Linked DNA regions of Arabidopsis thaliana. The protein of the gene in region 2 purifies or fractionates together with the protein of the main gene of each other region. This does not show direct contact. Each region holds a gene or a part of one and is shown on either strand. Other genes may lie near its edges.

Region 1 (6,903 bases), on a different chromosome or scaffold from region 2:
GTTTTATCCCACTAGTCTATATGAGATAGACAACATTATAGTGAATATGGTTATAGAATCTGGATGGTTTATATCAATTTAGACATCATGTAGAAGTACATCTAAACTGTTGGTTTAAGGTCGGCTGGTAGTGTGCACCCATGATTTGGCAACATCTAAACTGGTTTGGTTAATAGATCATGGCAAGTTATTACTCCCCTAACCTCATTTCCTCTTCCTGTAATATATATTGATCTTGTATTTAAAAACATAGAAAGAAGTTAGATTTTGACAGTTTGAAAACTGAGGAAAGTGTTGAGAAAGAGAAGAAAAACGTTTTTCAAGAGATAGTTTCAAGAAATCAACTACAAACAGGCATTTATCAAAGGTGACAAGTCATTGATCTTCGTTCGTGATTTCATCCGACCTTTTGATTACCAAAGTTCCTGAATTTTTTTATTACTAAACTGGGTTAAGGTATGTGTTTCGGTTTAAATTTCTTACATATACAAATGTGAAATTAAGTTTGTAACCGAAATTCTGTTTCTCATTCAAAAGACGTGATTGCATAAATTATCATCATTTATTTGCTTTGCAAACAAGAAATATTAATTTTGTGGGGATAGATTCATGTTAATGTGGGAAGACAGAGAAATATCGACGTCAAATCCTTAGACCCATATGTCTCAATAACTTCCAAAACGTTATTCAATTCCGATATAAAATTGGGACCATAAACTGATCATAGAATCATTCATCTCTATATATAAACACAAAAAGGTTCAACAAAAGATAATTCTATATAACCAAAGAAAAAAAACTCTCTTCCAAAAATGGCAATTAGGGTTTCCCACAAGTCTTTCCTCGTCGCACTTCTTCTCATACTCTTCATTTCCTCTCCTACTCAAGGTAAATTTATAGCTAATATATATATACACACAAGCGCGCTCACCTCACGAGTTTCTAGCTATATCAAGTATAATTTGAATGAATCTTCTTCTTGTTTTTTGGTTGAATATCAAAATATATTACCCAATAATGAGTTCTTGATATATAAACATTTTGATTTTTTAGCACGAAGCTTACGAGAAGTAGTAAGGAATAGAACGCTATTGGTTGTGGAGAAGAGTCAAGAGAGTCGGAAAATAAGGCACGAAGGTGGAGGAAGTGATGTTGATGGATTGATGGATATGGATTATAATTCTGCGAACAAGAAAAGACCGATACACAATCGCTAATAAACACACATGAACTTATCGAATTCTTGTGAGATATCCTGAGATCCAAAGATATCCCGAGATTTTATCTTTTACTAAACATAAATTATAAGAAGTGAGAATGTATTTTATATAAGAAAAGAAGTGAGAATGTAAACTATTATTATTTATAGGAACATATAAATATAAACGACTTTGTATGCATGTGTACAGTATTATCTCGAGGGAAAACAGTTCTATACAATAATCATAGCTTGTGTGTGCTAGCTTTATGTATGGATTGCATCATGGTTTTCTGTTTGTGAAATAAAACTCTATAATATATTATGTGTATATAGAAACCCACAAATATCTTCTTTAACTCTGTTGTAGTATTAGTTCCAATAAAATAAAATTACACCTCAAAAGAGTATTTGCTGATTTTATATATCGAATTCAAACCTACGGAAGCTCCCATCCCATGAAGGTGTTGTGGATATTTGATATCAAAATATGCATATACCAAAATACAATCAAATAGATTATAATTTAAAGTAATAGGACTTTGGAAAAACTAGGCAACATACCAAATAATATATGGGATCAAAGTTTTCGACAAATATCGATTGGTTTTCAGTCTCCAAACTTCTTTCATTTAGAAGGATAGAACTTAAATTCATTAGTGTCTTAATTTTGTAGTTCCACAAACAATAATCCTTGTCTTAACATATAAATTAGTCTTATAAGTCAGTAAAATCATGGTGAAATTTCTCTACTGCAAGTGGAAGGATTCAAAAGAAAGAAAAATAAATCCGAGCAATTGATGGATTTTCTGTTACTGTTAGAGAGTTGCCGAGGCTCGAGCGATAATGGGCCTTAAAAAACTTACTCAAATGGGCCATATGGACCTTAGATTTTCATTTATTACAAATGGATCCTATAGTTTCGTTCATAACATATTACCCAACAGCTATTTGGGTATGACCCTACAGGCGACAGGTAGGTTTATTCAATATTTACCTAATAGACCCAATAGATACTTTTATTACATATGTACACCAAAAGTCTTACACTATTTCGTTAAAAGTCCCAATAAATAAAACGTTATAATTAGGCCCAAATAGTCTGAGCTAAGCTTTTCTTGTTCAAGGGGTTGGGGTTTCGACGCTAACATTCTCTCTCTCAGTGAACCTTTAGAAGTTAAATCTGTTTCATCACCGGAAAGTTTCACTAACTCTTCTTCTCTCTCTCGGAGTATTGATTCCCGGCGTTTAGCAATGGCAAGTCTCCGATTTCACAGATCTGATTTTCAACTCTCTCTCTCTCTTTTCTCTTCCGTTCGAATTTTGGTTTGTCAAATTCGATGTCGTGATTTGATTGCAGGAAGAAAGTAGACAACTCGAATCGTCGATTGATCGGCTGCTGAACGAAGAGAAACAGATGAGGCTCGCAGAAAATGTCGCCGGAACTAGAAAAGCAGCTACCGAGATTCTTAAGCTTTGTTTCGAAGCTAAGGATTGGAAACTTCTCAACGAACAGATTTTGAATCTCTCGAAGAAACGTGGTCAGCTTAAGCAGGTCACACTACTTTCTATCGATTTAGCTTTTGAAACCTGCTTGTGGTAGTTTAAGGTTTTCGATTACTTGGAACGGTTTCTACTGAGTTCTGAATCTTACTGAGAAATTGAATGAAGAACTGAGTGAGATATTGAAAGTGGTTAGGTCTCTTGATTTGCAGGCTGTACAATCCATGGTGCAACAAGCAATGCAGTATATTGATCAGACACTAGACATAGAAACTCGGATTGAGCTTATTAAGACTCTAAACAATGTAGCTGCTGGAAAGGTGCGGATTAGAGTTGGCTATTGTTGTTGTTGTTGTAGTTATATTTGCTTGAATCTTGATCACTCCGTGCAAGTTTTTTTCTTGATGAATATGTGTGTGTGAGCATGTGTAGATATATGTCGAAATCGAGAGAGCTCGTTTGACCAAGATGCTTGCTAAGATTAAGGAAGAACAAGGTTTGATTGCTGAAGCTGCGGATCTCATGCAAGAAGTTGCTGTAAGCTTTTCTTCCTCTACTTTCCAACTTTCGTGGAAATCGTTTTTTATTTATTTTATAGTTTATCAATGTGCATTGATTGTGATTATGAATTATAGGTGGAGACATTTGGTGCTATGGCAAAAACTGAGAAAATTGCTTTCATTCTTGAACAAGTAAGACTTTCTGTTATCTTTTCATATTTCTTAAGCTTTGTGCTTTGTGCTTTGTTCTTGTTTGTATGTTGTGATTCTAATTATTGGTGTGTAAACTTCTGAAGGTCCGCTTGTGTTTGGATCAAAAAGATTTTGTCCGTGCACAAATTTTATCTAGGAAGATCAACCCAAGAGTGTTTGATGCAGATACCACGAAGGAGAAAAAGAAGCCTAAGGAAGGTGAAAACATGGTAGAGGAGGCTCCGGCTGATATACCTACATTGTTGGTGCTAAAACGGATTTACTATGAGCTAATGATTCGGTAAGTCCTTGATTTGGTTTAATACATTCTTCGCCAGTTATTGGTGTCAAAATATTTGAATATTATTCTCCTCTGAATTTTGATTTCCCTTTACTTCTGTGATCTTTATAGTAAAAATATAATGTGCTGATTCTGTTGTGTAGGTATTATTCTCACAACAATGAGTACATTGAGATATGCCGTAGCTACAAGGCGATATATGATATCCCTTCTGTAAAGGAAAACCCAGAACAATGGATTCCAGTAAGTCTCGTATTGTTGTTTGGATGATCTTGTGGTAGTCTACGTTCTGTAATTAGCTTGGATTAACTTTTCTCCCTTGATCCTCTAAATATAGGTCCTGAGAAAGATTTGCTGGTTTTTGGCCTTGGCACCACATGATCCAATGCAATCGAGCCTACTCAATGCAACCTTGGAAGATAAAAAGTTATCAGAGATTCCTGATTTCAAGTAATTCTCTTTATCTTGATAAAAATTTGGGTTTTCACTACTCTTCCCCTCGTTCCCATCTGAAACAGATTCTCAATCCCTATGTTTATATTCTGTTGCAGGATGCTTCTAAAACAGATTGTTACAATGGAGGTGATTCAGTGGACATCTCTCTGGAATAAATACAAGGACGAGTTTGAGAATGAGAAAAACATGATTGGAGGCTCTTTGGGTGACAAAGCTGGTGAAGATCTCAAACTAAGAATAATCGAACACGTAAAGACTCTTTGAGCTCTAATCTATCTTTACCTCTTTGATTGCATCAATTGTTACTGAAGAGTCTTAACTTTACAAATTCTTCACATCTTCTGCAGAATATTCTCGTTGTCTCAAAGTACTACTCAAGGATTACCTTTAAGAGACTTGCAGAACTTTTATGCCTAACCACTGAGGTAAATATAGTTTCAAAATACTCTTAAGTGTACCAGTACATGTTTAAATCTCTTCTTACCGTTTCATTATATTTCAGGAAGCAGAGAAGCATCTATCTGAAATGGTTGTGTCCAAAGCCTTGATAGCAAAAATCGACAGACCATCAGGAATAATCTGCTTCCAGATTGTTAAAGACAGCAACGAAATCCTCAACTCGTGGGCAACAAACTTGGAGAAGCTTTTGGATCTTGTTGAAAAGAGTTGTCACCAAATTCACAAAGAAACAATGGTTCATAAAGTTGCACTAAGAGCTTGAGAACCCGGTCTAGCCACACACATCGGTGGAAAGAATCTTTCAGGCTCTCGTTCTAACATAATCATTTGAGTTTTCTTTCTCTGCTTGGTTCGAACACATTTTTTTTGTGTTCTTTAGGAGACCTTGCAAGATTATATACAAAACTCTCTTTTTTTTCCTTTCTCCATGTGGTCTTTTTAATGTTTGTTACAATGAAACGAAATTATAATGCAAAAATATAATAAATTAAGAAAAAAAGCATGAGAGGATGAAAGCAGAACAATACAAACAACCTAAACCCTATAATATTTGGAAAAATAACTCTATAACATATAATCATTTTCCTGTTTTCTATTACTCTATAGTGAAACAAATAAAATGAAGCAAGTCATCAGGAGGATGGACTATTATTGTAGTTATTACTAGTCTTGTCTGATGGCCATTGTATATCCTGGAGATAACCGGTTTCGCTAGCTGATTCTGGTGGCGGCTGAACAGCAGCCGGGGAAAACAGAGGACGAGAATGAGATGATGATGACGACGTAGATTGCATCATTGAACCTCCAGTGTGACCGAAACGCAACGGAAACGACATTTGATCGTATAAATCCAAAGATTGTTGATGATGTTGCTGAAACTGTTGTTGTTGACGAGCCATTTCAGAGTAACTCAAGTTGTATGATTGCATCAACGGCTGCGAATGAACGCTTTGATTCGAAGCAGGTCTTATGGGCAAAAGGGTAGTCGTTGAACCCGAGTTCCTTGACTGGGTCGGTCTTTGAGCAGCGGTTTGGTGCACAGGTTGTGCTTCGGTTGAAGCAGGTCTAACGAGTTTGACGTTTTCAGGGAAGTTGAGTTTGGCTTTGTTGCCTCTAAACCGAAGTGCAGCTTCGTCGTAAGCTCTTGCTGCTGATTCAGCATTGTCGAACGTACCGAGCCAAACTCTAGCTGCTTTAAATGGATCTCGAATCTCAGCCGCCCACTTTCCCCATGGTCTTTGTCTAACTCCTCTGTATCTTCGCCGAGGTTGGTCCCCACTAAACGACGACGTTTCGCTACTAGCAGTTGCCGTAGTTGTATACTCGTATGTTGGGCCCGGACCTGACATGTTACTCGAAGCTTCTCTCACTGCAAATAAACAAACAAACATGTAAAATTTCACACTTTTGTTGTCACTCGTGAATTAACACTTTCTTACATAAGAAAAAGAATCGATAATATTAATGTCTCCAATAAAGATATTATAAAGTTTTTTTTTTAAGAGCGAGTATGAGAAAGTGATGAGGCAAATGGGTGACAAAAGGAATGAACAAGTAGAAAAAAAAAGGAAGTGGAAAACGACTCTTGATGCAATTGGAGGGAGATAAATTCTTTTGGCATATCATCATCATCATCATCATTTTCTTAATTAAATATCCAACCTTTTTACAACAATTCTAAAGTATATGTCTTAAGATAATCAAGTACAGTTTCGTTATTATATTTATTTTTGTCAACACTTCGAAATATTTATTTACATCTTTACGCTAATTACTATTTTTTATTCCTCATTTTTCTTTATATTTAAATTATTATAAAGTATATCTAACTTCGCCATATTTTAGAAAACGATAAAAGAAAAGAATAAAAAAACTAAATATAAGACATGTTGCTTTGTAGATTGCGTGAGGACAACAAAAGTGCAACTGTATTTAGATTTTGTGTTACAAACATTTGATGTGACTCATACCTTGATGTATATACTACATCATAAAATTATTGAAAACATTTATCAAATAGAATGATCTTATAATTTAAATGTTTTATGTTTTGTGGATACACAACCGAAATATGTAAAATTTTATCAAAATGGTGTGTACTAATGTGGTTTAAATCCGAAACAGGGTACGTGTGTTTATAGAGGACAAAATAAAAACCCAACAAAACTAACCTTTAGAAGTAGAGCTACCACCGGAGAAATATTGATCAACCGTCAAAGTATTAGCTGCCTTAACCGCTTTGGCGCCACCTTCCTCCACCTCTCTCCTCCTTTTCTGCCCCGAGGAAGAAGACG
Region 2 (6,682 bases):
CAGGCTAGGAGCTCACGGCGTGGTTACAGAAGCAGAAGTGCCGGAAGCGAGAGGAGTGTCTTCTCGTACCAACGGCGGATGCATTCCTTCTCTGATTGTGCATGGTCCACCTCCTGTGGCGGAGAAGCGGTGGCTCCGTCAAAGGATTCCCGCCGAATATCAGTTGAACAATCCCAGCTAGATGATCGAGTGTAGTAGATAGGCAATTTTCTTGGTGTGTGTTTTTTGCTAACAACATTTGTGTTTGTCTGTTTGTCTGTTTGCTATCATTTGCTTTTCGAACATGACCAATATTCAAGTCCAAAAAAAAAAGATTAAAATGTCAGAAGTGGGGTTTGAACCCACACCCTCTTACGAGGACCAGAACTTGTGTCCACTCGGCCATCCTAAGTCCTAACTTTATTGACATTCTCGTGACGACATCGTTTATATAGAAGATTATAATCTTTGTTTCTAGCTACAAAATCTGATCATAGATACACATACACTACAATGCAAAATCAGATCAGATTAATACAAGTCGAAGAAAAGCAAGTCTAATGAATTTCAGTTATATAAACTATCCGAAGAGTATGGTCAATCTGTAATGTCGAAACAAAGCTTGGCTTCATCCCAAGGACCATTAATCTCAAACTTATACTCTTGCATCCTAATGAGCCAATAAGGACACACAACATTGACAAGAAGCACAAGAGAAAGAAAGACAAGGAAGAAGAGTCTATGCAATGCATAAATAGAGTAAAGCGTCAAACCCATTAGAGCAAAGGAGAAGAGAAGATGCAACCCAAAGTTGAATTTCTTGATGCAGTAAGTAACAAGAGGCGCAAAGAGAAAGACTTGAAGTGAGAATAGCATCACAGCAAAGACATGGAGCCTAGAAGGAAGACGTGAAGCAACAAAGACTGATGCTACAATTGAAGCATTGACAGATATGCAGCTTGTCAAATTCGGAGTTTTGAGTGCTCCTGGAGCTCTAATGGTGGAACCAGAGTAATCATGCAAGAAGAGATGAAGCAAGAGGAGTGAAACAGTGACTGCCCATATCGAATCTGAGCTGATAGATCGCGTGAGAGTCTGGTAAATCGGAGCTAAGATATAAAGTCCCGTGGTGAAGAAGGAGATGTTGACGAGGTAACGCAAGAGGAGACTCAAAGATAACATTTTTTCTTCGGTTAAGAGGAGAATTAAGAATCCTGATGCTAAGAGAGAGAGATCAAGTAGCAAAAGCGAGTTCTCGTCCAAAGATGATTCAAGAGTGTGAACCCAAACCAAGACTACAAGCGCGACGATGCAGAGGTATTGGGAGATTGAGACAGAGTCTTTCATCACCTTGAGCAAATCACGTCTCACTACGTTTGCGTTCATCACCATTTCCTCGAGGAACGATTCGTCTGTGTAATTGTCGTCGTATCCGATTTGCATTCCTCCGTAGGCTACTTTCCTCCATTTGGGTCCCGGAATTGAGTCTCCGGCGAGATTACTTTCCATTGGGGAGGTTCCGGATTCTTGGATCCAAAATTAGGGTTCTTACGTCACCTCGATCAATTCAAGTTAGAGCGAGGGATGCGAAAGCAAACGATTCGTCCAAAGAGGAAGCTTGAATCGAGAGGAAGGAGGATCTAGTGAATTTGTGATGCTATTTTTTGAAATAAGAAAAAGTAGAGGGAGTAATTGGCAAATAAAAATTAAGAGATTTAGTACTCAAGTAAAATTATATATCAAACGATACATGTGAGCAAACTCGTGGATGAGAAAGTATCTCATGAAGCAACAGAACAGAAGACATGAAGAAAAAAAGATTATTGATGATGACAGAACAAAAAACAGAGTAGCTCTTAAAAGTAAATGATCAATCAAAATGTGAGGCCATCAACTGCATAATGAACAACTAGTTGAGAGCCATCGAACTCAGGTATACCAATTCAGTTATCTTCTTCTTCTTCTTCATCTTCATCATCTTCATCTTCCTCCTCAGATGCTTCTTTGAGCCACTGTATGAATGTATCACATTGTTTCAGATATACTTTGTCAGCTTCATCCGCGCCTGCCTTCTCTTCCTCCCATCTCAGTATCGCATCTTCTTGCAACACGTCCTTGTCATATAGAAGATGTAGAATTTGTGTGAACAAAGGGCCCAACTCTTTGTGAGATTCCTGACACATCTCTTCAAATTTCATGATCACTTCTATCTGTTCATCAATTTTCTTTGCGTAGAAGCCAAGAAGATCCTTCCATTTTGTAATGATACTCGCTGCGTTTTTATACAACTCACTACCAGAATTGTGTGGAGTATCAAGTGCCAGTTTTATCATCGAGAAAAATGTTGCTCCAGCACAATCTGCAGATTCCATGTTGAATGACAACCGCAGCCCGTTAATCTCCATAGTTACAAGGTCCACTTTGATATTCTCTTCAACAGCCCTTAAGACGGTCCCTTCAACCTCTTTCTCAAAGTAATAGTAATCATCATTGGGATCATTCACATCAGTGTTAATACTATCAGCATCAGATTTCAACTCTCCAGAAGTCGGGACGACACTTTCATCATCTGTGTCATCATCGTCTATGGCCTGAGTAATCTCAGAAAGTTTATCCTTGGGGATTGGTGCAACAGAATGCTTCCACTCCTCATCATGAGCCCCTTCACATACTTCCCATATGTAACCTGCTCCATCAGGACCAAGCTCAGATGCTTTGGACTCCATTTGCAGATTTAGGCCTGACAAATGATCCGCAGTCCCGCTGCTACTATCAGCATATTCCAGCTCTTCATCACTGTCTTCTGTCGTTGGCTGTTGAAGTAGGGAAACCTTTGAGTATGCAGGCACAACAAAGTCCCGTCCAACTACAACATTGAAAGACAAAACAACACCAGGCTGCAGAACAGCTCCTGCTCTGATTTTCACCCCATCACACACAATAGCGTTCCTTATCTCACACCCATCTTCAATAGTAACATTGTTCCATATGTATGAGCCTTCAATCACCACATTTGATCCAATAGAGCATCCATTCCCAATAACCGAGTTCATGATTTTATCCCCATGACCAATTTTCGTACCGTATCCAATGACAGTAGAAGCTCCAACATCAGCAGATCGTGATTGAACTACATCAGAAGCCTTGTATATCCCTTGTCTCCCGAGCTTTAGAGGCCGATTTCCACTGAAATTAATATCTGGTACATAAGGATATGTCCACCTCTGAATTATATCCTTGCTAACAGTGTCATAGCTTCGGAAATTATCAATCCTACCAGCATAGCTCGAGTGAATCTCATGAGTGAAGATTTTATAACCCATAATATCATCCACAAGCACACCTTTGACAAAATGACGACGCAGATGTTGATAATCAAAGTTATCCTCAAAGAGACTAAGCACTTCAGGAGAACATATGTCAATGTAGCAATCCTGCATATCATTGCATACTAAAACAGAAGGATTAGTATCCAACAATGACTTCTCTAAGCAAACTGACCCACTTGGATGATCAATCTTATCTTCCTCGTAATGAAGAAGCTGCTTTGTCAAAGGATCAACAGCAATGAAAAGCTGATCTGTTCCTAATCTTGACTGATGCGTAAGTGGAGAAGATTTAGACTGCTTAATAACCATAGTCATAATAGCTTTCTCATCTTTCTTCTTCCTCTCTCTATGCTCTTGAATCAAATCAGCAAGTGGCATATTACTCACAGTATCTCCACTAACAAGAACGAAATCACCTTGAATCTGAGACGTCTCTGTCTGTTGTTCATACATGTAACGCAAAGCATCTCCAGCACTGATGGATTTGTGCGACTCAATCGTTCTCACAAGCAAGTTTGGATGCGAATACCACTCGGATTTCTCCAGATATTCGATAACCTGCATCGAATGAGCACAACAGAAGACGAAAACCTCCTCTATTCCAGCAGATTCGAGCCATGCCAATGTGTAATCAATCATCGGAACATTAACTATCGGTAACAGTACCTTTGGGCGTTCTAGGGTTACGGGACGAAATTTCGTGGCGAAACTGTCGGCAAGAAGAATTGCTTGCAATCGGTGGCGACTCTGTACCTCCGCATCCTCTGAAACCCTAGCGGCGGCGCCGCCTTTCTTCTGAGCACCCATATCTCCTCCTCTCTCACTGATCAAATTCGATCTCACGGGAAAATCTAAAACCCTGAGTATAAACTGAAGTTAATTTATGACGAATTGAGAAAAGAGGATTAAATGTACATCTTTTAAAAATCTGAAGGACTAATATGACAATTTATCATTTTACAGCCCCCTAAGAGTAAAAAAGCACTGAATTATGTATGTTATCATCATGAATTTTCATGGTTGAAGTACTAAACGAAACGGTAAGAAGACGCCAATAAAGACAATGAGAGTTATGAAGGTGACGTAGCAAATCTAACAAGTGGGGAGGTTTATGAATGGACAGTACACAAAGTTGAGGAAAGTCAGGGAAGCTGCAAAAATACAAAAAAACTGTCTGAAACTTCTACTAGTCAAACAATGGAACAAAATTAGATGGTGTCTCTTTAGCTCTTCTTCATTAACAAATCTTTGAAGCAGAGAGAATGGAAGGTGAAGAGAGAGGATACTGGAGATGGAGCAAGAGAGATTTCTTTCCTGAGGAATCTTTCCAGAGCTTTGGTAGTTACAGAGCTGCTCTGTCTCAGACATGTTCCAGGTTCAAGAACAGGTTGGTTAGTAGGTCTGATGATGAGAACGAGCGGTTTGAGCTCAAGAAACAGAGTGAGCACGAGATGAAACGGTGTTTGACATGGTGGGATTTAGTATGGTTTGGATTCGGGTCGGTGATTGGAGCTGGAATCTTTGTCTTGACAGGTCAAGAAGCTCATGAGCAAGCAGGACCAGCTATTGTCTTGTCTTATGTTGTTTCAGGTCTTTCTGCTATGCTCTCTGTCTTCTGCTACACGGAATTCGCTGTGGAAATCCCTGTGGCTGGTGGTTCTTTCGCCTATCTACGGATTGAGCTTGGGGATTTTGCGGCGTTCATCACTGCAGGGAATATACTTCTTGAGAGTATTGTTGGAACTGCAGCTGTTGCTAGAGCCTGGACTTCATATTTTGCAACTCTTCTGAATCGTAGCCCGAACGCTCTACGGATCAAAACAGATCTCAGTTCCGGTTTTAATCTCTTGGACCCAATAGCTGTTGTTGTTATAGCCGCTTCAGCTACAATTGCATCGATCAGCACAAGAAAGACTTCATTGCTCAACTGGATAGCTTCTGCTATCAACACTTTAGTGATATTTTTTGTTATAATCGCTGGTTTTATCCACGCCGACACATCAAATTTGACTCCATTCTTGCCTTTTGGACCTGAGGGAGTGTTCCGAGCAGCTGCAGTTGTGTACTTTGCATATGGAGGATTTGATAGCATAGCAACAATGGCTGAAGAAACCAAGAATCCATCAAGAGACATACCAATCGGGTTACTCGGTTCAATGTCGATAATAACAGTGATATACTGCTTGATGGCATTATCCTTGAGTATGATGCAGAAGTATACAGATATAGATCCAAATGCAGCTTACTCAGTAGCGTTTCAGAGCGTTGGAATGAAATGGGGAAAGTACTTGGTGGCACTTGGTGCTCTCAAAGGGATGACCACAGTTCTTTTAGTAGGAGCATTGGGACAAGCGAGATACGTTACTCACATCGCACGGACCCACATGATTCCGCCTATATTTGCCCTTGTCCATCCCAAAACAGGAACACCGATAAACGCTAACCTCCTAGTAGCAATTCCAAGTGCTCTCATTGCTTTCTTTTCTGGTTTAGATGTTTTGGCAAGCCTCTTATCGATAAGTACTCTCTTCATCTTCACAATGATGCCTATCGCACTACTCGTGAGGAGATACTACGTGAGACAAGATACTCCAAGAGTTCATCTCATTAAGCTCATCACTTGTCTCTTATTCGTCGTTGTTTCTTCAATGGGTACTTCGGCGTATTGGGGAATGCAGCGCAAGGGATCATGGATCGGTTACACAGTAACAGTTCCTTTCTGGTTCTTGGGAACTTTGGGGATCGTATTCTTTGTTCCTCAGCAACGAACACCGAAAGTGTGGGGCGTACCGTTAGTGCCATGGCTCCCGTGCTTATCAATAGCAACAAACATCTTTCTCATGGGATCTTTGGGAGCAATGGCTTTTGTAAGGTTTGGTGTTTGCACTTTAGCCATGTTACTATACTATTTCCTGCTTGGTCTTCATGCAACATTCGATATGGCTCATCAGCAAATTGTGCCAAGAACATAACAACTATGGAAAACAGAGAAGAAATGTAACCTCTGAAAAGGTCTCTTCCTTCCACCCTAGTGTTATTCTGCTTTCTTCATGAACTGCTTCGTTCTGTATTCTCTGTAATCTGCAAAAAGTAAAGTTTGTATATATAAGAAAAGTCTTTTTCACAAGGACTCTTTATCAAAACATGAAATAGAGTTAAGTACACTGAATCCAAACTATGTTGCAAAATTGTTCTCTCAGGCTCCATTCTCGTCATTTAGAGTTCAAATCAACCAGTTTCGAAATCCTCTGCAACCTAAATTGACTTCATCCAGTTATCTCAAATCTGTTACTAAATTAGTTACATTGATCAAAATGTACAACGCAAGTGGCATTAAGATAGCAACAGCATCACAGCATTCAGAAACATAAGAA
Region 3 (9,225 bases), on a different chromosome or scaffold from region 2:
GACCACCGGGACTAAGCCGCTTTGAGTCAAGAGTATTTCCAAGGATCGTCTCTTCGCCTTCTGATCTCCCCTTCATCTCTTTTAACCTCTCAAAAAGTTCACGTCTTATCTTTTTCAAACGACTTGAACCAGAAAATCTCTCTTCGGCAACCAATGGTCGACATTCGTGCACCGATGTCAATTCGAGTACTAGAAGCAGGACCAAACAAACCCATAACTTGAGACTTGCCATATATATGTAACTTCCTCTTAGTTCTTAAAGGTGAGATATATAGTCTTTGAAGATTTTAAGGGGGTGATCTCCATATATAAGCTCAATAGCTACGGTATTTATAGAGAAGCTAAAGTCCTAATTAACGTCCATCTATGCAGAAATTAAATACGTTAATTAAGTTGGAATCTAGTCATATCTACCTAGCTAGTCCCTTCTTATATATCTCTTAATATTTATTTTTGAAAGGTCGTCATCACTTGATTGCATTTGCCTCTATTTTTAGTGGGAACGTAGTAAGTGACGTAATGTATAATTTCTGTTAGTTAAAAATTGTAAAACGAATGGAAGAAAACAAAATTATGTCTATATTGAATGACATGCATAGCTAACTGATTTCACTTGAAATAGAAACTTAAAAGCTAATAATATTTAATTGGGAGATTATTTTTTAAAAAACTCACAATTCATATTCCATAAACTAAAACATAAATTAAAAGCAATTTGAGTATTGTAGTAATTCTACCGAACCCAAATGTATATAGGATATGTGGAAAATCATTATCGTCGTTTGGTTGATGGAGCCAAATGGATATAACCAATGAAGATAAGGCATGACGTTTTCAGAGTTGGCAATGCACATAAAATAAGGTGGAGGAGACCAATCTAAAACCTTAAACGATGTATATATTAATCCACCAGGGCCTTAACTATATATTTTGTAGCTTTATTCTATGTATAATAAGTATAAGTGGTTGCCGCCACGTCCACTTCGATTTGTAAAGAGCACGTCAACGTAAAAAGCTGATTATGGAAGCATGAAATAGACGAAAATAGTAAAGCACAACAAATCTTTGAGACAAGTAGTGACGTTTGACGAATTAACCGATTTTCATTGGAGTAAAATAAGTCGTCTGTGTGCACTAAATTAAATTATGAAGAAAAACTTACTTATATCTAGATAGGTTTGTGCCATTGACCTGGTTTATCTTTAAATTTAGCATTTTTGAAGAATCAAATCTTAGTTATGCAGAAAACTCTTTGCGGAAATAGGATCTGGATCGTACGTTCTCTGTATCATATGTATAATTACTAATCATATAGACAACAAACTATGAGATCATCTTATAAATGATAGTGTCATAACCTAGTTCAGTTTCCCATAATCCAATAGTAGTTTACAATTTTACAAAAATTTGTGAACATTTCCTGTCAACTATTTGCGAGTCATGTGTGAGTGTGACCATGTGGACTGTTGAGTTCATTAAAATCTCTCAACTTACAACGTAAATTTGACACATCAATTACAAAACTGATCCACATTTTCTTGTTCTCCTTTCACATATATAGAGAAGAGAAGATACTACTACTAGTCCTGAATCACGATTTATATGAAAAAAGTGCAGAGATCATCAAATCATCTGCAGATGGAGATCGCCTGTTTGCTGGGCAAGCTCTACCATCATCGCTTCATCAAAGAATTTATTTCCGCTGACGTCTTCGCTCATTCCCTGCATAACCAACAAATTATACATATCGTGAGAGTCTGAAACTGATGATCCAAACACCCAACGAGTCATACAATATAACTAGCCTAGGATGTATCCAGCAAATTATAGCTGGTGTTACTTGGTTAAAGAGTAATTAGCAAGGGCCGGGTTTGTAAACAGTAGTTTCGGGGATCCTTTGGTTTGTGAGGGTTTACTGGGGTCATTTAACCAAACACTAGAGTAACAAATCAGTTTATGGTTTCATTCGTATCTTTAACCGCATGAAACCCACTAAGTTTTGGGATGTGCATTGAAACAAAGGAAATCATAATACCTTTCTACGGCGGGTCTTGACCATGAATTCCCGAGCTAGATGCTGAATAGGAGCGGGCTCAAGTGGGCGCAACTGGATGGCTTTGTCTAGAGGGTCTCCTGGCACAATGGCCCAGTGATCAAACACAGATAGGCAAAAGGCTTGTCCCTGAGTGTGGTACCTCAGATCTGTCTCAAACCCAAAGGACTCTATCACAGGCAGAAAGGCCTGCATCAACACCAAAGAATATACTCAATGAATCATCACTTAGTCAAATAACAGGAACAAAGTAAGGAGAAAAGACACAAACAAAACTAACCTTCACGATATAAGCTGGAGTACCGGGTTGAGGAACATCAGATGTGACATGCCCACGTCTACGTGACAAAACTGTGTAGATTGCAGTTACACAGTCGATTGGTGTTTGTATCTGCGACAAAACCATAACTCTTAGTTATCATTTTAAGAGAAAAAATGTGACGAGCAAAAATGGAAAGGGATTATGTACCTCCACATAGTAGACAGGTTCCATTAGCCTTGGAGTTGCCATTAGAAAAGCTGAATATGCAACACGTCTTGCTGTTGGAATCATCTGACCAGATCCTCTATGCAATGGCTCTGGTGCTATCCGTGCATCAACAATCTTGAACTTTACATTTCTGATGGGCTCATCACAGAGGGGACCTTCACGAGCACCCCACTGGAACCTGCAAGAGGAATAAAACGAAGCCACTTAGCTAAAGCCAACAAAATCGAGTAAAAGAAAAGTGTAACAGAAGAAAGATGATTACCCTTGAACAATGGAGTCTTTCACTGCCATCATCAAGTTCCTGTCCACCTCAGTTGGAAGGGTGTCATCCAATAATATGTTTGGCCCCTGATCAGTCGAAAATCAACAATCAATGAAATTGTCAAAACAGACATAAACCAACCATAACAATAAAGATAAAGTAAACCCCAGATTGCAGTGTTTTAAGAATACAAGCATTTCACCTGTTTGTCAGGGCCAAAAGCCCAGATGGAACGTGCAGCAAGTAAATCCCAGTCATATTTCGTCCTGAAGAAGTCACCAAGTTGTTTTCTGTTCCAGTCAATGCTTACAACGCCATTCTCAATGTCCTCTGCAAGTCCTCTATCCAATGGCTCTGCAATCTTTAGCATGAAACAGATATCAGATTTTTCACAAAGTAATTGTGCTTGAGCACCATACCAAACATCGCAGTCTAATATATAAGAGATAATAGTGGAAAAAGAAGATCTCTTACCATAGTTATTTTGTTCTTTTTGTTTGGTGTCTCAGCAAAACACTTCATCGACGAAGATTCAACCACTGTCTCACAGAAGGAGACCACCGGATCTGCAACCTACAAATTTAAGAAAGCAAAAGGATCTTAGCTATCAAACAGCCAAATCAGCAATTTGCTTGCACACCGGAATCACAGTCATAGAGCCAAATTAGAGATACAATTAGATACCTTTACTTCGACCTCTGAATAGAGCTCCCTGAGGTCCTTCATGATTGAATCCAAGTACAACTCACCTGTGCCTAGAATAGTATGTTCCCCAGACTCCTCAACTTTGGTAATCGCAAGGGGATAGCTTTTGCTAATTTTCCTAAGCCCTTCCACCATTTTAGGCAGCTCACTAGGATTCAAAGGCTCAGTTGCAGTCTTGACTACTGGGAGGGTATTAAATTGGAGAGCCCGGAATATGTAGACATCTTCATCATAGCTTGCATTACACAGAGTCGCAGTTTTCATGATGGATGCATCGACACCTTCAATTAAAACCCAGGAACCGGGAGGGGCACTGCTTACTGGTATTCTATACCTAGCTTGATATATCCATAGCTTCGTCACTTCTTTTATAGTCATGTCCTCCTCATCCTCAGGTGAATACCCTTCTCCTAGTACACGTACGCTTTGCCCTGTTTGAAGCCTACCACTATAAACTCTTCCAAACACATCAAAAACACTAGTATCTGATTTGGGGTACAACTTTGTCACATTAACCATGAGAGGTCCAGATGGATCACATTCTACCATTGATTCATAAATGGGGGAATCTTTGGTTCCGGTATATGAATGGTCGACCTTCCTAGCTGCAGCCTCTCTGGGTGAAGGAATGTGCTTTACCAACATATCAGTGAACCCTGATGCCGAACCAAACACTGAACTACAGGCTAACCTAAGTAGAGGTCTGACGTTCAGCTTATATGCACTATTACTCAGAGTCACTCCTAATTCTGCAAGGGTGGTCTCTACACTCTTCTTATGTTCACCTATCACTTGGCTGTATATCTTGTATAGGGGCTCCAGAATAAACTGAACAAATGCTCTTTCTCCACCACCTACTGGAGGACTTCTCTTGAATACCCTAGTATCAGAGTGATAATATACATCTCCCCAAAGTCGAGATGCAAACTTATCCACGTCCATGGCCACACCATGAAGCTTGGCATACATTTTAGCAAAAGATTGTAATGTGAAGGACCATCCGGCTGTACCACTGGCAAAACATACATTTCCAGCTGCAGGGTCTATAAGAGGTAAGTCTCCAGCAGTTGTTGAAGCAGCAGATATGTGGTTATTAATGACTTCAATTGTATGCCTCAGCTTGTAGTAAGCATCCCTTGGAGGTAGTTTGAGCTCAGTTATGAGCCTGTCAACCTGTTGGGGGAAAAAAATTGACAAAAAGCAAAGGTCAAGCAAATGTATGGAAATATAAAATTTCACACAGTATCTCTTAAGTTACACGTTGAAGCATGAAGTACCTTATTGATAACAACTACAATAGGGAGATGGTCCTGGATTGCATGCCGTATAGCTCTCTCTGTGTTAACCTGAAAAAAGATTATTAGCGTCAGTACAAATAGTATACTTCAAAAAATTAAAAATACAGACCAAAAAAGAGAGAGTAAAGACTTACCATCACTCCTTCAGCAGCATCAACAATCAGAACAGCACCATCAGCAAGTCTTAAAGAAGCAGTCATTTCGTCAGAGAAATTGACATGTCCAGGGGTATCCATGATATTGCACAGGTATGATTTGGATCTACTGTCCTCAAGGACAAGAGACATTGGAACCGCCTTGATTGATATATTTCTCTCCTGCTCATCGACTCGTGTGTCTGTATATTTCATATGCTTCTCGTTTTTAGCATTAAAAGTAGACATATGATGCGTCTGCTCTACCAACATATCCATGAAGACAGTTTTGCCGTGCTGTAGATGCCCCACAAGAGCAACATTCCTCACAAGCGCAGGATTAGACATGAGGCCGATAAGAAACTGTGTTGACACATACGTTGCTTGATCTTTGACCCCCACCTCAAATCTAATATCTCTAACAGGTTTGATAATGGGTTGCTCAAGAGGCTGCTCATCTTCATCCATAACCAAGGTCTCAACATCCTCACCATAAACCTCCTCAGCAGTAGGGTAGTACTTCTTATCCTCAGGAAGAACAATTTGGTTCTCCATCTCAACATCATTGATAGTGGTAATCCAGCCATTAGAACCCCCAGGCCCTTGTTCGCCATCGGAACCATTTTCTTCAAGATGCTTATCTTGGAGATCTTCATCTTCTACTTCATCATCACTATCTCTGTCAGACTCAATCTCAGGTCCAACATAGTTACCAAACTCATCATACAAGCTACTTTCCATCTTTATGTAAACCTGTCAAAAAAGAATCCCATGAGCAATCAGGATTTTGTAGCAGATAAACAATAACGGCAAAAAAGTCAAATGAGTGCATTACCACAAAATCAAGCTTTTGATAGATCTATCTGGGTTATTTACTATAGCAATTCTGCAACATATTTTATTTAACCCATTGGCGAGTAATCTCCTCTAATGCTCAACACCAAGTCCAAGAGAACACCATGAAAAAGCTAGAATCAACCAGAAACTTAAGGTAATTAGACTAGAGCAAAACCCTAGGAGAGAATCGAGCAGAAGCTTATGCTAAGTTGGACTAAAGAAAAACAACAAGGCGAGAGTCGAGCAGAAGCGTTGGAGTAGAGCAATAACCTAGGGTAGAATCAACAAGCTGAACAAAGTTAAGGAGTGAGAAGACGAACCGGTGGGGAGAGAGAGCGAGAGGCGTTGCGATAGCTAGAGGAAAATGCGAGTTGGCTCGGCAATAGGGTTTGTCGCCACTGAGACTGTTATCGCCGGAACAAGGGAATGAAAAATTTAGATTTAGGTTTTGATTGGAAGACTCTACGTCGGACAGAGAGTTTTAGTCGGTATATATTGATTAAATTATAGTAATTGAAATCTATTTGTAACGATGTGGGATATGTTGATGGGTCGGGTCCAATTATATGTCAATCGGCCCAATTTAGAAAAAATTGAAACGTCTAAACCAGAACGTAAACCGGGTTCACTATGTTTACTGCAGAAAAAATTCAGTAAAAGTTTTAAAAGATGTTTGCGTTTTGCGATGGATGAAGCAAAATTAGTCGTATGTCACTTAGGAGTTCATTTTAGATTGAAAGCTGCGATTTGAAGAAGATAGTAAGCATAACAAGATGGTTATAATGATTACATGAAGACAGTTCTTTACTCAAGTGTAGTGGGAAGTATCATATACTCTTCAATCGGTACAAGCCCTTATTTGGCTTTGTTGGTGACAGGGGTAAACTTTTGGAATATCACTGTGAAGCATCGTCCAAGAGACAGTGAGAAGTATCGTATAGACATATACTCTACAATCGGTACAAGACCTAATTTGGGTTCTCTAGTTGGTGATAAGGGTAAACTTTTGAAATATCCCTGTGTAGCATCGTCCAAGAGACCAAGACTCCGATTATTATTTGACTTGAGAAGACTAAACACATTAAACACATTAAAGGTTAGACTTCGTTTTATCATTTCGAGCGAGTTTATCGGAGAGTGAGGTGAATTTTATCAAGCCATTTATATAATCCAGAGGAGATGTAGATACTCACCTCTCAACACATAAGCAATAGGCTAAGTGCAAACCAAAACACCTCGTATAAATGTTTCGGGTGAAGATTCACCTACGGTTTAACAATGTCTAAGAAACCACTTTAAAACAGAAAGTGAGAAACGAAGCTAAAAAGGTTCCACACTTATAATGGAAGTACATTGTTATAATTTAAAAGTAAACCATCAAGAACAACTCTTCGCAACATTCTGATATCCATGTCGGAAGAAGACAACAAACACAGACTGCTTATTTTTCATCTTCATCACTCGAAAGCCCCAGTTCTATTTTCACGGCCTGCTTCTCTTCTTTGACGGTTTTGTTGGAGGATCCTGATGCTTCTGAATGTTTTTTGTCATCATCAGCACCCGTTTTCTTTACAGGCTCTTGTTCTTCTTGTTCTGTTGGTTTCGGACCAGTATCTTTGCTTCCTGATGATTCTTGTTCCACAATGGAGGCTTTCTTTTCGGTTTCATCAGGCTTCTTGTAACTAGATAAAACTTGTTGGAGCTCATCATTCAGATGCAGAGCCTCGAACAGGACTCCCTCGTCGTCTGTTGTACTCTCTATGATCATTTGAATCAATGGCTGCGATTGCTTGCATTTCTCCATCAGGCTAACCGTTAGATCGTCCTGTAACCATAATATATATAAACCTATTACTTATCACTGTCCTGTCAATTTCACTTTAAGCACATATATCCAAGGAAACAATAATGTAAACCAGGAGATACTCATAACTCAATCCATATTCCATAGACATTTGTTAAGGAAAATGACAAAAGTTAGATGAGCAGACAACGTAGCAACTACCTCTGTGTGATTTGGCTTTCCTTCAGTATTCAACATGCTAGAGAGCAATTCGAGGCTGTTCCGTGTAATCTCAATCTGTTCTTTCTTATCCTTTATCGATAAGTTCCCAAAGTTATAGTCAAGACCATCATCGTCCCCAAGAGCCTGTTCTTGATTAGGAACCGGATAGCTACCAGGTGGAGGCACTGGAACAGGCCGTTGCATAAGAGACTCCAGAGAACTTTGTCCCGGCATTGAATTCTCTTCACCTCGAGCGTGTAATCCATTTTCGCCTTCCAAGCTCTATGAAACAAAAGACAAGCCGGAGATTATAGGCATATGAACAATTCCATCTTTGCATAATAAGCAAATAAGATTCAGAGAGATTTACCATATAAGTCTGGTGGAAAACAGGAAGATAAGTAAGATCTTGGGATTGTCCCCAAGCTCTAATAAGCTGAAAAGCTCGCTTTCTGTTCTCGGAATCAGCTTCTCCGTTCTTGATTAACCAAACCATCTCATCAAGAACTTTCTCAGAAGCAACTTCAGAGAAAACCTTCTCGCAATTCATAGCACAAGCCTCTAAAAGCTCAAGGCTCAGCCTTTGGCTCACAGGGCTCTTACCTGAGATCTTCCTCTTGATAGCTCTAACAATCTCAGTGCCGTTAAACTCATCGTTGTTAATCTGAGCACAAATCCTCATGTTCATTCCCCAATTAGGCTCCTCTAAAGTCTCTAAAGTAGCTTCATCCACCATTTTGGATTCCAAGGTTGGAGCTTGAAGCATATCTTTCACTTTCTCACTCACCATTCTGCTCATCTGAGCTCCACCAGTCTTCAGCTTCTCTCCCCATTCTGCTATCTTCAATTTGTCCATATTCTCTGCACAATTTTCCCAGACTTTGCTTAATTTAACGAAGCCCTAAAAAAACCCTAATTTGATTTCCGAATCAGTTTCGAGTCACCATCGTTCTATATAATACTAAACAGTACAACCGTAAACTCCGAATCGAGATCAATCAACCAAAATCTAAACGAATAGAGATCAGGGAAGAAAACAATTACAATAAATTGGATCTATAAATTCAAATGTGCTGATCCTTGAGTACACTAGAAAAAGAAGAGAGGAGCGAACAAACCTGCGACGAAGTTTATTAGAGATGATCAAATTCAAATCGTCTGGAAAATTTGTTGTTGTGTTTGGTATTTGTCTTTGATTATTTTAGCTTCAATCTGCAAGCAAATCTGTCGGAAGGAAATGTTAAGAGAGTTAAAAAAAAGAGAAGGACTGTTGAACACGTGCCATGTTGACAAAGCCTAACTCGAAAGTTTGGTCAGAAGCTTCCTGGTGGGGGTTAAAGTGATAATTTTGTTTAATATAGGACAAAATTATAAAACTAAAGAATAGTTTTGAGGCTAATTTGAATATTTCCTAAAGATATGAACTATTTTTGGCAATTTT
Region 4 (9,178 bases), 620 kb from region 2:
AAAGGATCTCACGTAGGAGGAAACTATTTAGACCGGTCAATGAGTTTGACCCAATTCTTGTTCCGTGGATTTTGACGTTTTTGACTGAAAATCGTCCTAAATTAAGCCCTATATTCGTGGAATTAGTTTCTATGTTTTTAATTTAGATATGCATTTTTCTATCTTTTATCTCGTTTGCTAATTTTATTGACTTGGCTCATGATTTCCCGCAAAGGAGAGAAAAAGATTTCGACCAGGTCAGTAAAGTATTAGAAAATAGAAGATATCTAAAGTAAAATGCTACTGGACAAAATGTCTTTGGACAATAAGCATATTATTTGCCTTAAGAAAATATTTAGGGATATCAGATAAAATTCGAAAACAATGTTTAACCAACTTCGAACATTTTTTTTAATAAAAAATATGAAAATGATTTCATATAGAAAAATGCTTTGATTGTGACAGTTTGAGCATAGGGTCAATGCATTGTTATTCAAAATTGAGAATATTTCACTTTCGTACACTTTTGTTATTCTAATAACCATAAGGTCCATAACAGAAAAAAATTAATATGAGAAGATATGTGTGTAGAGACTACAGGCTACATGCTCGAGATCTCATTATCGGTACGTAAGACACAAACAAAAGTACGAGTCGTACGTGTTATCCATCAAACTATAACTTACGAGTGTTTATTTCACATTTATAGTCTTCAAATAGGTAAACACGGATTCACTTTTTGTTTAAGCCCACGATTTACATTTGTACTTGTGTTGCCGATAAAAATAAAATATTATTTTAATGGTTTTGAAAGCGTTTTTGGTTACTATAGTAGATCTTAAGTGTTTTTTGTATTTCACTTATTTCATTACATGGAAAATATAGTTCTCTTCTTTTTATTTGTTCTAATCATGAGACATCAACATCGCCTTTCAGTATCTTATTTTGGTCACAAAAGTCTATCTACCATTTGAAAATCATTGTCAAGAGTCTATCTAGTTATTCTATGTCCAAAAATATTATTACTTCACTTTCAAGTCGTCTGCACAAACTAAATTTTATATGAGGTTTTTTTTTTGAACACAAAATTGTGTATGAGCTTAAACTACACTACACACGTGCATAATAGCGATTAAGACACATATTATAAGGATTATCTGGGTGTAGAAGTTCAGAATTTGGGATTACGAGAATTGCAATAAATTGTTTACAGATTAAAATTTAACGAAAGGAAATTAAAATAAAAGTAAAACAGCTTAAGATCAAAGCTGATTTGATGAATTGATACTTTTGAAGATATGACCATCTTCATATAAAGTCTGAAATGCAATATATGCATCACGCATTATCCAAATAGAAAACGACCACCACTTTAATTTCAAGATATAAAACCAATACCTAAAATGAAGAAAATTTATATATGCATGTGCATCTGTAATATATAATCAACCATTAATTATCTATATATAATTACGATTCACCAATATTAATTACATAATCTCAAACGTTATACGTACGTATTATTTAGGGTTGAAAACAAAACAAAATGTCATGCGTATATGAACTATACATATGCGTCATTAGCTCGTTCTTCAATCTAGGTTTAATATGAAAAATAATTTTTTCTTCATAAATATCTTTTTCTTGGAGCATTGTTTTTTTTTTCTTTTTTCTTTTTTTCTTGGAGCATTGTATTTGTATGAGAGTTCGCTTTCATCTTTGGATCCTAAGAATATAACTTTTATGCAAATAGAAAGGACACAGCTATTGTGCTTAGGATGGTACCCTCATCGTCCTATCTTTAGACATTAAAAATAAAATACCATTGATTTTGACCTTAGGTATATAATTTGTATATCGAACCCGTGGAGGTCGCATTTGCAACGTGAATCCATAACGATATACCAACAGATAAACCATATCTCTAATTGTCAATGAAATGTACAAACATATATCCCTTATTCTTTCATCTTAGAACATATTTTTAGGATCTCTTGAACGGTTGATTTTGTTTGTTGTGATCGAGGATATGTTGTTAATTGTTATTTGATTGTTGGTGAGTATGGAGTGTTGGTGGGTAATGGGTATAAGATAGGCGATTAAGATGCAAAGAACAAACCTACCTCGGTCTCATTCGATATTTGTGCTCGTTCTTTAGATTAAAACATAGTCGCAACAACATATAACAAAAAAAAATCTGTAACAAAACAATGGGTTTGTTTTATAATCTAATGAGTAAATGTACATGAATCAACCAAAATTACTGAATGCCCAATTTTAGTTCAACATGAGTTAAAACAGATTTTAAAACTAATATAAAACGTCGTCAATTTCAAATTCTAATGGTTGGATCGATTTAAAAGCCCAAATATAAGAAGGTGATCGTTAAAGGCCCAATTAAATTGAATCCCTAATATATCAAGTGAGAGTGTTAATCGTCGTCTCTCTCTTCAACCATTTCCCGGCTTCCGCGTTTTTGCTTTGTAGCGCCGGACCGGAGAAGATAAAACCCTTGCTCCGCCCCACTCACAGGAAGTTCTACATCGACCTGAGTTCTCGTACTTCGTCGTATCACTCGTTCTTCCTACGATGAACTGTGCAAGTAAAGCTTTCAGTCGTCTCTCTCTATTTTTTCTCAATATGCCGATTTAGGGTTTTCTTATGGTTGATGTTGGTGGCGGCACTGTGTTCTTTCAGTTTCAGGAGAAGTTCCCGTGGAGCCAGTGGTTTCGACGAAGTCAGGATTACTCTTCGAGAGACGACTAATCGAAAGACATATATCGGTAAGCTTTGAGCTGAATTAAGCACTGCCAAGTACTTTTACCGTCTTGTTTTTTTTGTTCTCACTGGAAGGATTTCTCGTAATTTGAGTGATGTTGTTTGGTTTACTTCGGATGATTCTTGTAGCACTGTGAAATTATCGAGAAATTCTTTTGGGCACCAATGAGATCCGATCTCCAGTGAGAGCTCTTTTAGATTATCACGCCACTTGGAAATGAATGATTTCTTCTAAATTATTTTCCTCTGTAGGATTATGGGAAGTGCCCGGTTACTGGCGAACCACTTACCATTGATGACATTGTTCCCATCAAAACTGGGGAGGTAGTGTAATCTCTTTAACTATTTGATGCAAAGTACTGTTGACGATATTTGTTTGAGATTTTTTAATGTAATTGTCAATTGTGTAGATCATAAAGCCGAAAACATTGCATACAGCTAGTATCCCTGGATTGCTCGGAACGTTCCAGAATGTAAGCTTTAATTGTTCTTTTGCAAATTTGTTCCTACCTTTTCTCTTGGATTTATGCTTGTTTTCTTAATGGGAAGTTCACTAAGAAATGTCACAATGTTTTATGTTATTGGTCATGTAGAGTTTGGTTGATTGACTTAAAATAAATTTTCCAAGGTTGTTTCTTAAATGTATACAAGATTCGTTTAACTGAACACATTGGCCTCTTCTCTTTAGTAACATTATTACGCGGATCACCTGCTCCTTTTCTGAGTGCTAATCAACATAAATTGTTCATTTTTTTGGGATGAATTATTCGAAGTAATTGCGTGAGAAGTTTAGCTGCTTTGCATTTTTTAGGAATGGGACGGTTTGATGCTATCAAATTTTGCACTGGAGCAACAACTACATACTGCAAGGCAAGAGCTAAGTCATGCCTTGTATCAGGTAATTTTGGCTGTGTGTTTCTGTCACCAGTTTATGAGGTGCCATGGTCAATAAATTTGTTTTATGCACCCTAGATTTATTTTCCTCACTCATTTCATCTTTTAGTGTGTTTAGTCTACTGATGGGACTGTTTTACCTTCTGTTTGCAGCATGATTCTGCTTGTCGTGTGATTGCTAGACTTAAAAAAGAAAGAGACGAAGCACGCCAATTACTGGCCGAGGTTGAGAGACATATACCTGCGGCCCCTGAAGCTGTGACAGCTAATGCTGCTCTGAGTAATGGTAAACGAGGTATGATTGTACACTTTTTACTCAAAATATATTGGCTAGTTATTTTTTCCTCTTGTAACATGTCACTATACTCTTTTGTTGTATAATAGCTGCCGTTGACGAGGAACTGGGTCCTGATGCAAAGAAATTGTGTCCTGGAATTTCAGCTGAAATTATTACGGAATTGACTGATTGTAATGCTGCTCTTTCCCAGAAGCGAAAAAAGCGACAGGTACTGCACATAGACTCGTATCTATCTTTGAATATGCATTTGAATGTTAGAAGGCAAGACCTGACGACTTGCTACGTTTATGTATTTTTTCTTGTTTGTAGAGGCATGTGATTTATACTCACTATATCTATTTAGATCCTAGTATTCGGTTTGAAACTTAACTAAAAAAATGTTGCCCTCCTGCCTAGTCTTGTGATTTTTTTTGTATTGGTTCCTGCTGTCTTGATAATTTTAATATTTTTCTGTAGATTCCTCAAACATTGGCGTCAATAGATACTTTGGAGAGGTTCACTCAGCTATCAAGCCACCCACTTCACAAGACCAACAAACCAGGCATTTGTTCGATGGACATTCTACATTCTAAGGTCCCTCATCTGATGGTTTTTTAATCACATCCCCTTATTCTTATTTTCCTCTGTTTCTGAAAGCCTCTTCATAGCATGTGATAACCGACTGGCAAACTTCTAATCTTCTATGTATAAATTATTTGAATATAGCCTTGAGTCCTTGGTTGGGGAATGATCATATCATTGTTATGTCTTTTTTGCATAATATTTTTATTTGCCTATTACATACCTATATGCTGTGTGTGATAGTTTGTATTACGACCACGACCAGGGATTCTTTGCATTTCTTTGATCTTATATTATGCTAAGTTTTGGTGTGCAAAAATTTACATCAGAACTATATTTCTTCTTAATTCGGTGACCAGGATGTCATTGCTACTGGAGGAGTTGATGCAACTGCTGTTCTCTTTGATCGCCCTTCTGGACAAATCTTGTCAACACTGACTGGTCACTCGAAGAAGGTTTTTAACTTTTTGCCTTAGATTTTTGTTTGAATTTGTTTCATGTAGCTCCATGCTTGATATGTGTTGATTCTTTTGTAGGTTACAAGCGTAAAATTTGTAGGCGACTCTGATCTTGTTTTGACTGCTTCTGCTGACAAGGTAATTTCATATGTCATATTTTATGAATAGTGCTTGGTATTAGTTCTATAGGAAATTGTAATCCCACATTGTGTATTGCCTTCGTTTTGAAAAGTAGTAGCCGGCAGATGCATTTGTTTATTTGTATTGTGAAAAGATGACTAGTAGCCATTGAATCTTTTTCTGTAGATGTCATGATGCTATCTTTGAAAACTTTGTTTGCTGCGAGTTATAAAACACATTTTGATCACTCACACCAGAAGTCTCTGTAATTTGTTGGATGCTCTGTTCGATTTCACAGAGGATGTACATCACCAATTGTTCGATAGTTATCTTTTTATTACTAAATTAGTGACTTACCTGCAGACAGTCCGTATCTGGCGGAATCCTGGGGATGGGAATTATGCTTGTGGGTATACATTGAATGATCATTCTGCGGAGGTAAGGATGAATTTGAGGAACTCTTACAGTCCGTTCCATGTTCTTTTAATTCATATACTTTTTGTGTAACTTTAGTTAATGATGCTTTATTCAGGTGCGAGCTGTAACTGTGCATCCCACAAATAAATACTTTGTCTCGGCATCTCTTGATGGTACATGGTGCTTCTACGATCTGTCCTCTGGCTCATGCCTTGCACAGGTCCCTAAACACTTTCCTTAAAGAACCAACTAATACCTGTTTTCCTTTCTAGCTTTGCCTGTATGCTATATAACAGAAATGATTATATATATTTACAAGAAACAATTGTGTGGATTATACTTTCTTCATGAGCATTTTCATATCAGCTAAAATCCGTGGTTCGGTGTATGGTTAGAGTACGAGCTCCTTTACTCATGAAAGCCTTTGTCATATTCCTTGTTTTTATTCAGGTATCAGATGATTCAAAGAATGTAGATTACACGGCTGCTGCTTTTCATCCCGATGGTCTCATTCTCGGAACCGGTACTTCTCAATCTGTTGTTAAGATTTGGGACGTTAAAAGTCAGGTAAAAACTATGGGCTTCCAAACTATATGACCTATTAAAATTATTAATTGTGTACAGTGTTCTTCATTATAGTTTTCATTTTTTTGGTTGATAATAGGCAAATGTGGCTAAGTTTGATGGACACACTGGGGAAGTTACAGCTATATCTTTCTCTGAAAATGGTTACTTCCTCGCGGTGAGTACTTTGAACAAAATACGAGAAGAGAGAATACAGCTTAAGTTATGCTTACATGAATGATTTTCTTTTTGTCCTGGAATTGACAGACAGCTGCAGAGGATGGTGTTAGGTTGTGGGATCTGCGCAAGTTAAGGAACTTCAAATCATTTTTATCTGCAGATGCGAACTCTGGTACACAACTATCGTATCTGTTTCTACTCATTTTGTTGATAGAGAACTTTCTATGTATTATAAGCTCGCTTTGATTAAACCTACTTTTTTTTTGTGTGCAGTGGAGTTTGATCCTAGCGGATCTTATCTCGGTATTGCTGCATCAGATATCAAGTGAGTACACATTTGAAAATAGTGATCAAAACATCCAAAGCTCAGCTAAAGAAAATATCCAAAGAGACCAAGCTAGCTTGATTAATCTGCACGTTGGGTTAACACAATTTATGTGTTTTGGCTGCAGAGTATACCAGACGGCAAGTGTGAAAGCTGAATGGAACCTTATCAAGACACTCCCAGATCTCTCCGGCACTGGTAAAGTCCCTTACCTAACTCCTTCAATGATCACATAGCGATAATGTTGCTAATTTCGAAGCCCTTACACTTGCAGGTAAAGCTACGTGTGTGAAGTTTGGTTCAGATGCACAGTACGTTGCAGTCGGTTCGATGGACCGTAACCTACGGATATTTGGTCTTCCTGGTGATGAAAAAGCCAACGTCGATGATGACTCTGCGCAAGACTCGTGAACAATCCGTAAAAAACTCAGACAGAACATTCCAAATGTCCATCTCCAGTGTTATCTCGCTCAAATTTCTCAAGTTCTGTTGTATCTTACAGTATTTGCAGCAATGGGGGAGAATTTCATAGGTGCGGGTCATGAGTGAGTGGTGATTGTGATCATCCTCGCTACCTCTTGGAATTCAAACAATGACACTCACAAACCCTCGAGTTTTCTTATAGGCTCTTTTAATCGCTTTGTACCTTCAATATATGTACCAAAAAATGTGTTCTTTCTGTTGCCAAATGAATTCAGACACTAATGAAGATCCCAAACCGATGGTGCTAAACCGCATTTGGTATTATTTAATCTGTTCTAGACAGTGGTGGTCTGCTTAGTATTCCGTATTCCAACAAATGATTTCAGCTGGTCTCTGAGAACAAAATTTTAACTAAATGTTAAAGAATACCCTTGACTGTACTTGGTCAAAAATCACTGGGCACAATATTTACATTTATCCACGAATATCAGATTCGTGATTCCTTTTGCAATTCCAGGATTAGTTTAACTTCACGCAAAAGATAATGTTTTGTAATACCCTTTCTTTATTGTGACCAGGATTGACAATTCGTGTTAAGGTATAACCACGTGTTTCCTCACAATTCTAAAGAATGCTTATGTTTCTCCCTGTCTATATTATTTTTTTAATTTTGTCTGAAAATACTAAAATAACTTGAACAAATCATCGTATAAAAACTACAAAATACATAAACTAAGCTTAAAGAAATACCTACACGATGAACTTTTTATATAGTAATTAGTAACAACTACAAAATACATAACCTTACTAGCTACTGGGAAAAAAATTGTCCAGTTTTAGATGATCAGAGTAAATATAATACTAATTGTCTTCCATTTTAATTATTGTCGAAAACGTGTTTTCATAAAGTAACTATTATTGGGTTTCATTACTAAATTCTAAACATCAAATGGAATTGAAACCAAAAGAGTAGTTATTCTAATTTTAAAAAGTTAGGTGTTGAATAAACAGTTTAAGTGAAATCTAATAATCAAAGACTGCAATACACACACCAAGCTCACTGTACTGTCTTTAGACTGGTCAGTGGTGGCTGAAGAAAGAAAAGAGTGTTTGATTGTTATATTAAAAAATAAAGAAAACAAATTACGCTCCCTTCTCTACAGACTCTCTCTATCCTAATCCTATTTCTTTTTCCACATCTCCTAAAGAAAGAGAAAAGAGTGGTCATCCATCCATCCACAGCCTCTTACAAAATCTCTCTCTTTCACCATTAACACCAAATTCAGAAAACTCAGAAGAAGCAAAATAAAGAGCTTTTACTGATCCACCAAACACAGAATTTCATAAACTCCCAAAAAAGTTAAATTCCAAACAAGCCCCACAACAACAACAACAACAAAAAAGATTTTAATCTTTCTCATTTACCCATATCCTCAAAATTCCCACAAAAATCTTTCCTCCAATAACATAACAAAACAACTCTTCTTCTACAACAAACTATGTTCTGATTTTTTAGTTTCTTCTTCCACACAATACAAAAGAAATGGGGTTTTATTCACTGAAGCAGCTTTTGTTACTTTACATCATCATCATGGCTCTGTTCTCAGATCTCAAGCTAGCAAAATCTTCTTCACCAGAGTACACGAACCTAATCTACAAAGGTTGTGCAAGACAGAGATTATCAGATCCATCTGGTTTATACTCACAAGCTCTCTCTGCAATGTATGGCTTATTGGTTACTCAATCAACGAAAACAAGATTCTACAAAACCACAACTGGAACAACAAGCCAAACAAGCGTCACTGGTCTTTTCCAGTGTAGAGGAGATTTAAGTAACAACGACTGTTACAACTGTGTTAGTCGTCTTCCTGTTCTCTCTGGTAAGCTCTGTGGCAAAACCATTGCTGCTAGAGTTCAGCTCTCCGGCTGTTATCTTCTCTATGAAATCTCTGGCTTTGCCCAAATTTCAGGTATTACTCTCCATTATTTGGTTTAATCTCAATTTCTTCGAAATTTTTTGTTTCTTGAACCGGAATTCGAGTTTCTGTGTGAACTTCAAGAACCCGGTTAAGAATCAGGTTTTGGTTTTAGATATAGGTTTAACCAAAGTTAGGATTCGACTAAACCAGAGAAACTTTTAACTATCGACCTAATTTCGGTTTTAACCATAAACCGAACCGA

Evidence for each region.
Region 1: the proteins of AT2G34970 (region 2) and RPN5B fractionate together in Arabidopsis thaliana (co-fractionation; one large-scale study listed by BioGRID). This does not show direct contact.
Region 3: the proteins of AT2G34970 (region 2) and MEE5 fractionate together in Arabidopsis thaliana (co-fractionation; one large-scale study listed by BioGRID). This does not show direct contact.
Region 4: the proteins of AT2G34970 (region 2) and MAC3B fractionate together in Arabidopsis thaliana (co-fractionation; one large-scale study listed by BioGRID). This does not show direct contact.

The regions. Positions count from the first base shown.
Region 1 is NC_003076.8:25,891,995-25,898,897, reverse strand, and holds RPN5B (regulatory particle non-ATPase subunit 5B), read left to right. Parts: upstream 1-2,311; 5' UTR 2,312-2,452; coding exon 2,453-2,455; coding exon of another isoform or gene 2,456-2,459; exon of another isoform or gene 2,460-2,558; coding exon 2,559-2,753; intron 2,754-2,913; coding exon 2,914-3,021; intron 3,022-3,133; coding exon 3,134-3,238; intron 3,239-3,336; coding exon 3,337-3,393; intron 3,394-3,497; coding exon 3,498-3,694; intron 3,695-3,837; coding exon 3,838-3,937; intron 3,938-4,031; coding exon 4,032-4,144; intron 4,145-4,245; coding exon 4,246-4,399; intron 4,400-4,497; coding exon 4,498-4,575; intron 4,576-4,652; coding exon 4,653-4,871; 3' UTR 4,872-5,118; downstream 5,119-6,903. Other genes in the region: RGF9 (root meristem growth factor), read left to right, coding at 813-888, 1,054-1,217; ABR1 (Integrase-type DNA-binding superfamily protein), read right to left, coding at 5,242-5,978, 6,781-6,903. UniProt on the Arabidopsis thaliana protein: Acts as a regulatory subunit of the 26 proteasome which is involved in the ATP-dependent degradation of ubiquitinated proteins. Acts redundantly with RPN5A.
Region 2 is NC_003071.7:14,743,773-14,750,454, reverse strand, and holds AT2G34970 (Trimeric LpxA-like enzyme), read right to left. Parts: upstream 4,220-6,682; 5' UTR 4,116-4,219; coding exon 1,923-4,115; 3' UTR 1,672-1,922; downstream 1-1,671. Other genes in the region: AT2G34990 (RING/U-box superfamily protein), read left to right, coding at 1-195; SETH1 (phosphatidylinositolglycan synthase family protein), read right to left, coding at 577-1,488; CAT5 (cationic amino acid transporter 5), read left to right, coding at 4,571-6,280.
Region 3 is NC_003070.9:1,896,982-1,906,206, reverse strand, and holds MEE5 (Ribosomal protein S5/Elongation factor G/III/V family protein), read right to left. Parts: upstream 6,257-9,225; 5' UTR 6,100-6,256; intron 5,975-6,099; exon of another isoform or gene 5,911-5,974; 5' UTR 5,778-5,910; intron 5,696-5,777; 5' UTR 5,684-5,695; coding exon 4,943-5,683; intron 4,857-4,942; coding exon 4,788-4,856; intron 4,684-4,787; coding exon 3,490-4,683; intron 3,379-3,489; coding exon 3,280-3,378; intron 3,167-3,279; coding exon 3,008-3,166; intron 2,892-3,007; coding exon 2,806-2,891; intron 2,722-2,805; coding exon 2,523-2,721; intron 2,445-2,522; coding exon 2,334-2,444; intron 2,243-2,333; coding exon 2,036-2,242; intron 1,723-2,035; coding exon 1,624-1,722; 3' UTR 1,310-1,623; downstream 1-1,309. Other genes in the region: CLE3 (CLAVATA3/ESR-RELATED 3), read right to left, coding at 1-232; AT1G06210 (ENTH/VHS/GAT family protein), read right to left, coding at 7,221-7,604, 7,785-8,066, 8,155-8,640. UniProt on the Arabidopsis thaliana protein: Splicing factor involved in pre-mRNA splicing and component of the spliceosome. Essential for reproduction. In female gametophyte, is necessary for the egg cell and central cell fate determination and hence reproductive success.
Region 4 is NC_003071.7:14,124,391-14,133,568, reverse strand, and holds MAC3B (MOS4-associated complex 3B), read left to right. Parts: upstream 1-2,344; 5' UTR 2,345-2,568; coding exon 2,569-2,581; intron 2,582-2,676; coding exon 2,677-2,762; intron 2,763-3,009; coding exon 3,010-3,081; intron 3,082-3,167; coding exon 3,168-3,230; intron 3,231-3,568; coding exon 3,569-3,655; intron 3,656-3,804; coding exon 3,805-3,946; intron 3,947-4,035; coding exon 4,036-4,157; intron 4,158-4,405; coding exon 4,406-4,522; intron 4,523-4,869; coding exon 4,870-4,965; intron 4,966-5,046; coding exon 5,047-5,106; intron 5,107-5,451; coding exon 5,452-5,526; intron 5,527-5,620; coding exon 5,621-5,725; intron 5,726-5,955; coding exon 5,956-6,072; intron 6,073-6,169; coding exon 6,170-6,247; intron 6,248-6,336; coding exon 6,337-6,421; intron 6,422-6,522; coding exon 6,523-6,574; intron 6,575-6,701; coding exon 6,702-6,772; coding exon of another isoform or gene 6,773-6,777; intron 6,778-6,848; coding exon 6,849-6,985; 3' UTR 6,986-7,428; downstream 7,429-9,178. Other genes in the region: PDLP3 (plasmodesmata-located protein 3), read left to right, coding at 8,541-8,967. UniProt on the Arabidopsis thaliana protein: Probable ubiquitin-protein ligase which is mainly involved pre-mRNA splicing and DNA repair. Component of the MAC complex that probably regulates defense responses through transcriptional control and thereby is essential for plant innate immunity.